Saccharomyces cerevisiae S288C: one gene and its partner. The gene in region 2 interacts genetically with the main gene of each other region. Each region holds a gene or a part of one and is shown on either strand. Other genes may lie near its edges. The genes, in order: ATR1 and HMS1.

The links.
Region 1: of HMS1 (region 2) and ATR1, changing one suppresses a phenotype caused by changing the other (phenotypic suppression), as found in Saccharomyces cerevisiae (one study listed by BioGRID).

Annotation. Positions count from the first base shown.
Region 1 is NC_001145.3:35,925-40,326, forward strand, and holds ATR1 (borate transporter), read left to right. Parts: upstream 1-2,271; coding exon 2,272-3,900; downstream 3,901-4,402. Other genes in the region: NAB6 (Nab6p), read left to right, coding at 1-1,723; VAN1 (Van1p), read right to left, coding at 4,263-4,402. UniProt on the Saccharomyces cerevisiae protein: Putative component of the machinery responsible for pumping aminotriazole (and possibly other toxic compounds) out of the cell. Probable ATP-dependent export permease. Appears to confer resistance only to aminotriazole.
Region 2 is NC_001147.6:388,945-392,950, forward strand, and holds HMS1 (Hms1p), read right to left. Parts: upstream 2,132-4,006; coding exon 827-2,131; downstream 1-826. Other genes in the region: YOR032W-A (uncharacterized protein), read left to right, coding at 3,232-3,432; Rad2 family nuclease EXO1, read right to left, coding at 3,472-4,006. UniProt on the Saccharomyces cerevisiae protein: Involved in exit from mitosis and pseudohyphal differentiation.

The DNA of each region.
Region 1 (4,402 bases), on a different chromosome or scaffold from region 2:
CAATGTCAAAATTTCAAAGACAACAGAAAACTCTAGGCAATTTTCTCAAGATATCCCATCACCTTTGCCATTAAATGAACATATGTTTATGAATGATTCTAATCAGTCCAATGGAGCGATAATACCTCAACAGTTAATAGCCACACCTTCTCCGGTATCCCCCAATTTGCAAATGAATCAAAGGGTGTTGCCGAATCCAATAACTCAAAGTTTGGAGCAAAATTTCAACGTTTCGGCCAAAGTGGCATCATCCATGGGTTCAGACATAGGCAATAGAACAATTTATATAGGAAACATTAATCCAAGATCAAAGGCGGAGGATATCTGTAATGTCGTGCGTGGAGGAATCCTTCAGAGCATTAAGTACATACCGGAGAAGAAGATATGCTTTGTTACTTTCATCGAAGCTCCATCCGCTGTACAGTTCTATGCAAATTCATTTATTGATCCAATAGTGTTACATGGGAATATGTTGAGAGTTGGATGGGGGCATTATTCTGGTCCATTACCGAAATTAATCTCGTTGGCTGTTACGATCGGGGCAAGTAGGAATGTCTACGTAAGCCTACCAGAGTTTGCATTTAAGGAAAAGTTTATTCACGACCCTCAGTACAAAAAATTGCATGAAACACTATCTTTACCAGATGCGGAACAACTAAGAGAGGACTTTAGTACCTATGGTGATATTGAGCAGATTAACTATTTGAGTGATAGCCATTGCTGTTGGATAAATTTCATGAATATATCTTCTGCGATTAGTCTTGTTGAAGAAATGAATAAGGAATCCACAGTACAAAATGAATCCGGTGAAGTGACGCTTAAAAGGGCGACTGAGGAAAAATTCGGTGGCCGTTATAAGGGCCTTCTGATAAACTACGGCAAAGATCGTTGTGGCAATATAAACAAAAATTTGATAGCAGGTAAAAATTCAAGATTCTATAAGAAAGTTAAAAGACCGAGCTATAATATACGTTTGAGTAAGTTGGAAGAAAAGAGGAGGCAGAATGAAATCGATGAAAAGGAAAAGGCTTTTGATAAACCCTTGAACTTGGAATCCCTAGGAATTAGTCTGGACGCACATAAGGACAACGGCGGTGGTGAAACAGGAACTGCAAATAATACTGGGCATGAAAATGAAAGTGAACTAGAGGCTGAAAATGAAAACGGTAATGAGACTGGAAGTTTCGGTGGACTGGGTCTCGCTGTGGCGAGCTCTGACGTCAAACGTGCGACATCGGATGAAACTGATTATGAAGATATATTTAACAAGTCATCGGGATCTTCCGACTCGTCATCAGACGTCGAGGTCATTATGCACTCCCCGAGCGATCCTGAATACGCTTTAAAATCACAAACTCTAAGAAGCTCGAGTCAGACCGTCATTAATAGTAAGAGACCAGTAAAGATAGAAGACGAGGAAGAAGCCGTAGGAATGTCACAGCTCAATTATAGGTCGTCATTAAGACAAGCTCCTCCAAGAGCTCCCTCAACTTTGTCATATAATCACTCGAAGAACAACGAAACGCCAATGCAAGATATTTTCACAAATGGCGAAACAGCAAATAACAGAAAGAAGAAGAGAGGATCTTTTGCAAGGCATAGAACGATACCAGGATCTGACGTCATGGCCCAATACCTTGCACAAGTGCAACATTCGACATTTATGTATGCAGCCAATATTTTGGGCGCCTCTGCGGAAGACAACACGCATCCTGACGAGTAGTATAGCTGTGCTGAGCCTGAAGTATAATGCATATCCATCGGACTATTTAGACAAAGCCCAAGGAAGCCTAAGGCGGCCTGCCAAGGTGTTTCTCCCTTTTTTTCTCCGATTTCTTTGTATAAACTAAATAATATAGTGATTACTAATGGAATGGCGGTATTATGCACCTAACCTGTTCATTCTGCCACAGATTACGTAAGCGATTTATTGCCGGCACTTGTTGTCTTAATGACCGAGTCACCAATGTGGAACGATAATTTTCTCTGACTCAAACCTGTTAATTTTTTTCTACTTCGTTTCGTTAGCGACGACGTCAAGCCGCAGGATCCTGTCTGCCTTGACCTCTTCTCTACCTTCAGAACTTACACTTTTCAGGTAAGATGACCTTTATATAAAAGTTGACACTATTACAGTTGTTTATAAACGTCTGAAGAATGAGACGTTTTTATAAAATGAATAAAATGCATATTCTAAGTTTAAAACAACATTTTCAAAGTGTACGATTGTAAAAAGAGAGGCAATTAGAGAATCTCAAACAGGTAATAATAATGGGCAATCAGTCATTAGTTGTGCTTACGGAAAGTAAGGGTGAGTATGAGAATGAGACAGAACTACCTGTTAAAAAATCGTCACGAGATAATAATATCGGAGAATCTTTAACAGCAACAGCTTTTACGCAGTCTGAAGATGAAATGGTAGATAGCAATCAGAAATGGCAGAACCCAAACTATTTTAAATATGCATGGCAAGAATATCTTTTTATATTCACATGCATGATAAGTCAGCTTCTAAATCAAGCAGGCACTACACAGACTCTTTCGATCATGAATATTCTTTCGGACAGTTTTGGCTCAGAAGGAAACTCAAAGTCATGGCTGATGGCATCTTTTCCGCTAGTTTCAGGCTCATTTATTTTGATTAGTGGCAGACTAGGTGACATATACGGATTAAAAAAAATGTTGTTAGTAGGATATGTTCTGGTTATTATATGGTCTTTGATTTGTGGGATTACCAAGTATTCTGGTAGCGATACTTTTTTTATTATTAGTAGAGCCTTCCAAGGGCTAGGGATTGCATTTGTTTTACCTAATGTGCTGGGAATAATTGGTAATATATATGTAGGTGGTACTTTTCGTAAAAACATCGTGATTAGTTTTGTTGGTGCGATGGCCCCTATTGGAGCAACTTTAGGTTGTCTTTTTGCAGGACTGATCGGTACCGAGGACCCAAAACAATGGCCATGGGCATTCTACGCGTATAGCATAGCCGCTTTCATTAATTTTGTGCTCTCCATATATGCCATTCCGAGTACTATACCAACAAATATTCATCATTTTTCTATGGATTGGATTGGTTCTGTTTTGGGCGTGATAGGTCTCATTTTATTAAATTTTGTGTGGAACCAAGCTCCTATATCGGGTTGGAACCAGGCTTACATCATCGTAATTTTAATCATTTCTGTGATTTTTCTTGTCGTTTTCATCATTTATGAGATTCGATTTGCCAAGACTCCACTATTGCCGCGCGCAGTTATAAAGGATCGTCATATGATTCAAATTATGCTGGCTTTATTCTTTGGATGGGGCTCTTTTGGCATCTTTACGTTTTATTATTTCCAATTTCAATTAAATATAAGGCAGTACACGGCATTATGGGCTGGTGGAACTTACTTTATGTTTTTAATTTGGGGTATTATTGCCGCCTTACTGGTAGGATTTACTATCAAGAATGTGTCTCCATCAGTGTTTTTGTTCTTTTCTATGGTAGCATTCAATGTGGGCTCAATAATGGCAAGTGTTACACCGGTTCACGAGACATACTTTCGTACTCAGTTAGGAACGATGATAATTTTAAGTTTTGGGATGGATCTTTCATTTCCTGCTTCTTCCATTATCTTTAGTGATAATTTACCGATGGAGTACCAAGGCATGGCTGGGTCATTGGTGAATACTGTTGTCAATTACTCCATGTCCTTGTGTCTCGGTATGGGTGCCACAGTAGAGACACAGGTCAATTCAGACGGAAAGCATCTTTTGAAAGGCTATAGAGGTGCTCAGTACCTTGGGATAGGATTGGCAAGTTTAGCATGCATGATTAGCGGGCTTTACATGGTCGAAAGCTTCATAAAAGGCCGCAGGGCAAGAGCTGCTGCAGAATACGATTGCACTGTGGCTTAGCGGAAAGCGGTTATTAAGGTAAATAGATAGAAATACACCGCTGTCATGCGATTATATAGACATGGGGCATTTAGACACTGAAAGTCTTCATATCTCAACATGCAACTAGTAATAGTACAATTTTTAGTACCCTTTAATCTTTATTGTTCGCTCCCTAATAACGAAGCCTTGAACTGTAACCAGATCCCAGGTTACCCCTTATCCTTAAGAGGTCTTTTATTTACTCTACATAATATATATTTTTCAATCCATTGAAGAGGATTAAAAGAAGAAAAATCAATACCGAACAAAAAAACAAAACGAAATAAAACAAAACAAAAAATTAAATTAAATTAAATTAATATTAAATGTCATCATGATTCTTACTCTGATTGTCTTCTCTTCTCTCTTTCCCTTGACGCAATTTCCTTCAAATCGTCATCGCTCGGTTCATAAATATGCCAAATAGTATAATGCGGTAAACCACCAACCCTGTACCCCATTTTCTTTGCCATTTTACCAA
Region 2 (4,006 bases):
GTCAGATCGCATAACAACCGGTCATATATTTTTTTCTTTTGCTAAACCCCCTACTGCAAGCACTTTTAAGAAAAAGAACAATAAATGCGTCTTTATTGCTGTGTGGAAGTGATTTTTGTCTTTCGGACAAAAAAAGGATAGGGATGCGAGAGGGCTGTGAAGTAGTGATCAAGCGGGGCCTATATAAGAAGGGCGCACATCGTCCCCCCTAAGAATAGCGAAGCGATATTACACTGAACACTACAATGTCAAATAGTACTCAATAAATATGACTGTAAAAATATGTGACTGTTAAGGCGAATGTTGTAAGGACTCTTGTCATTGTGGGAGCACCTGCCTTCCAAGCTGTTCTGGCGGTGAAAAGTGCAAATGTGATCACAGCACCGGAAGCCCTCAATGTAAGAGTTGTGGTGAAAAATGCAAATGCGAAACCACGTGCACTTGTGAAAAGAGTAAATGCAATTGTGAAAAATGTTAGGTGACCCCTACTCTTTACTTATCATAAATACATCATCATATTTTACCCTTAATTAACAACATTTATTTAACTGCATGAACTAAATATAAGGTATAGTTTCTTTTTCCCGGAATCTTTTTTTTAGATCGTTATTATTTAGACGGCACTAAGAGAAATAAATTAAACTAAATTACGGTGCGGAGCTCAAGGCATCTGCGAGTGTTTACTAACACTAAAAGAGATGAATAAAATAGATTTCTCAATGCAAAATTAAAATTACAATGTTACGCATACACACAAGTACAGATTTGTATATAGTATTTCTTCTTCGTTTTATCTGTCGTGTTGAAACATTTTGTTGTTCAAGTATTAAAAGTCTCCTGCGTTGTTAAAATCCATATCATGTGAATTGTTGGTGCCGCTCATGAGGCCGTTTTGATGTGGAATATTATATTGAATGTTATGCAATGGTTGTTGTTGTCGTGGCTGCCGCTGCCGTTGGCGTTGGCAGCTTCTGGTTTGCTTTTGTACTTGTTCACTACTACTGTTGTCACTCAACGGTTGAGATGGCTCGGTAAGATGGACGAAAGAATCCCGTGTGTCATTTGATAAATGTTGATTAGCCAAGCTTAGCTGTAGGCACTTTCTTTCTAAATGACAAATATATTCAATAGATTTCGTTAAAATGGACGCCTTATTCAATTTTGTTGCTGGCTCTAGGCCATCTAAGTCTGCTAGGTCTCTAGATGTAATGGGAAGATCGTTACATTTTTTATACGCTACTCGTAGCGTTGGGACAGTTCTCCTTAATTGTTCAATTTTATCATTAATATTGGAACGGTATTTCTTTTCAATTATATTGTGTGATACCCTTCCTGTCCTCACCCTTGTTATTCTTTTGGGTTTAACATGAAAATGTTTCCGTATAGGTGAAGTTTTTAACTTGAAGCTCATACTGTCAGCATTGTCAATATTCTCCAAATTCAAAGATGATTTAATCTCGTCTGCAGTAACTAAGGGAGACTCTGTCTTCGATAAAGGCAAAAAATTTTCAAAGCCAGACAATTGTTCCTTTTTCACGATTGAAGCTGCTGAAAGAAGACTCGAGTCCTTTTCAGATTTAAGATCGGTTTGCTTTACATTATCAATGTTTTCATTTTCCTCGCTACTAAAGACTTCCATGTTATCAATGTATTCTTCGCTGTCAATAGTATTGCCATTGTCTGTAGTCATTGTAGTACTACCCGTCGTTGTTGTAGGTATAGAAGCCAGAGCATCATTATAGTAATTACTATCAATTACTGGAGTGTGGCCTGAAGTATTAGGAAACGAGGAGTCACTATACTGGTCTGTGGCAGAATATGTGTTGTTCTTATATACAGGAGGCACGGGAGGTTGAAGATGGATGGGATGCTGAAATGGAGCGTAATAAGCATGCGTCGGAGGTCCTTGAGAACCCAAATCCTCGGTATTGTAATTTGGTGGCGGCACGTTGTAATTGTTACTTTGAAACATTAAATACATTTGGTTCGTGGTTACATTTACATTCTGCTCTTCGCTGCCATCTTGAGCACTTCTACAATCAAAAACCTTGATGGCGACTTTATTACCTAGGTCGTTCATTACAGAATTGCCATCCGAAGAACCAGAAAAAGGTTTTTGAAAATTTGGCATTTCCAATTTATACTCTTATCGTTGCTAAAATGAGTCGTGTACTGCAACTGCTCTATATTCTATATTCTAAGCGAATGGGTGGGTGGGTGTGACTAACTATTAAACTACCTAAGCGATCTCGAGAGCCAAGGCGAGTAGTAGAAATAAAACTAGAAGCGCGCTTTACAGGTTTGACCTTAAGTATGATGCGATAAGACACTTACATAGGACGATTTTTGAGGCTTACAATGTGTAACCAAGGTATATAAAAGGTGCTGCTGCTCTTGGGAAAAATACAAAGAAAACGCCTACGGTAAAAATACAATACCAGCTATTTTTTTCTTTTGAGAAGCCCACTCAAAGTAAAAATTAAACAATGATGGAAAAGAACGGAAAAAAGTTCAAACAGAAAATTAAAATACAGCAGAGAAGACTAGGCACAACAAAGTGGGATTGTGTCTACGCTTTTAACGGTGTACCCTTTTTCCTCGCCACGTTTTCACTCAGATCTAAATCTCTGCTGTAATTTACAGCGGCATAAGAAGGCACGTCCCCTGAAAGTAGGCTAGCCAGAAAACAAAAAGGCCAGAATCGGCGCGGAACTTCTCGTATCGAGAGCAAATGAGGGGTGCGGCACACAGTAGGAAAGGGTAACTGATTAACATACGTACACCCCGGCATAAAAGCTTCTGCAGGCTTTGTAGGCAAGAGACACTGCGGAGAATAAAAGGTTGTGACGCCCAATACCTTCGCCGGACTCCTTCTTGGCGTTCACAAAAGACGATGCTGCAGCATTTTTTTCTTGCGTCGAACTCGCGCCCACAGCAACGAGACGGTTCCGTTCCTTCCCGTAATGTTGCTTTGATTAACAAAATTCTCGTTTCCTCAGTTCTGTGAGCCCGTTTGTCAGCAGAGGAATCCCAATGAAGAAAATTTTTTCTGGAAAGTAAAAGCGAGCGAAAAGTTTAAGGTTCAGATTGCATCACTATTCGTTCAGTTGATAGCGAATGTAGACCGCTAGCGGCTTGATTAGATAAATAGAGTGGGTTAAAAAAAAGGAAAAAAAAAATGTGAATTGCACATGCCCAGCGCGCTCGCAAAACATATAAAGTTGTCCTCACATGCGGCGTGCATTGTTCATAGCGGGGCAAACATACTTGTGGCTTAATTTGACACATCTACTTTTAATCTTTTCTTGGTCTAGTACAATGGCTTTTTCCCAAAGTAGAAGGCTTCTTACTCCAACCGTACCCTGTCCTACTTTACTGGGCATTGATTTTTTAATTCTTGTCTTGAGGCATTTCGACGAGATTTTCATTTGAAAAATATACCTCCGATATGAAACGTGCAGTACTTAACTTTTATTTACCTTTATAAACAAATTGGGAAAGCAAGGAGATAGATCTGACTGCCGGCCGAGCTTGGCTTGACTTAGTAGTTTCGATGTCCCTTTTCTTACTTTCCTCATGCAAAATTGGTGATGAATTGAATGATTTTCGTTCATCTACGCTTTTCATGTCAATCACAATTCTCTGTGACCTGGCACCAATAAGGCTTTTTCGCAGTGATGGCCTTTGCGTGATTTGATTTTTACCATCGTTATCGTCGCAATCATCATCTCTATTTTGATTGACGTATACCATTCCTCTACTTTTTTGATTAACGTGCCGAGGAAATAGTGGTTGTCTATTTGCATTAACTCCGCTGAATGAAGATGAATATCTAAACTTTTGTAAAACTTTTGTGCACCCCGATATACTCCTCTGGGATGACCCGGGAAATGAGGTGGTGCTGCTCGTGGGAACTCTTGATTCCGCAGTTTCGCTATAATCCTCGCTAGTATCGCCATCACCGTCATCATCTGTATTATAGATTTCGTTACCGATAGTCTTTCCT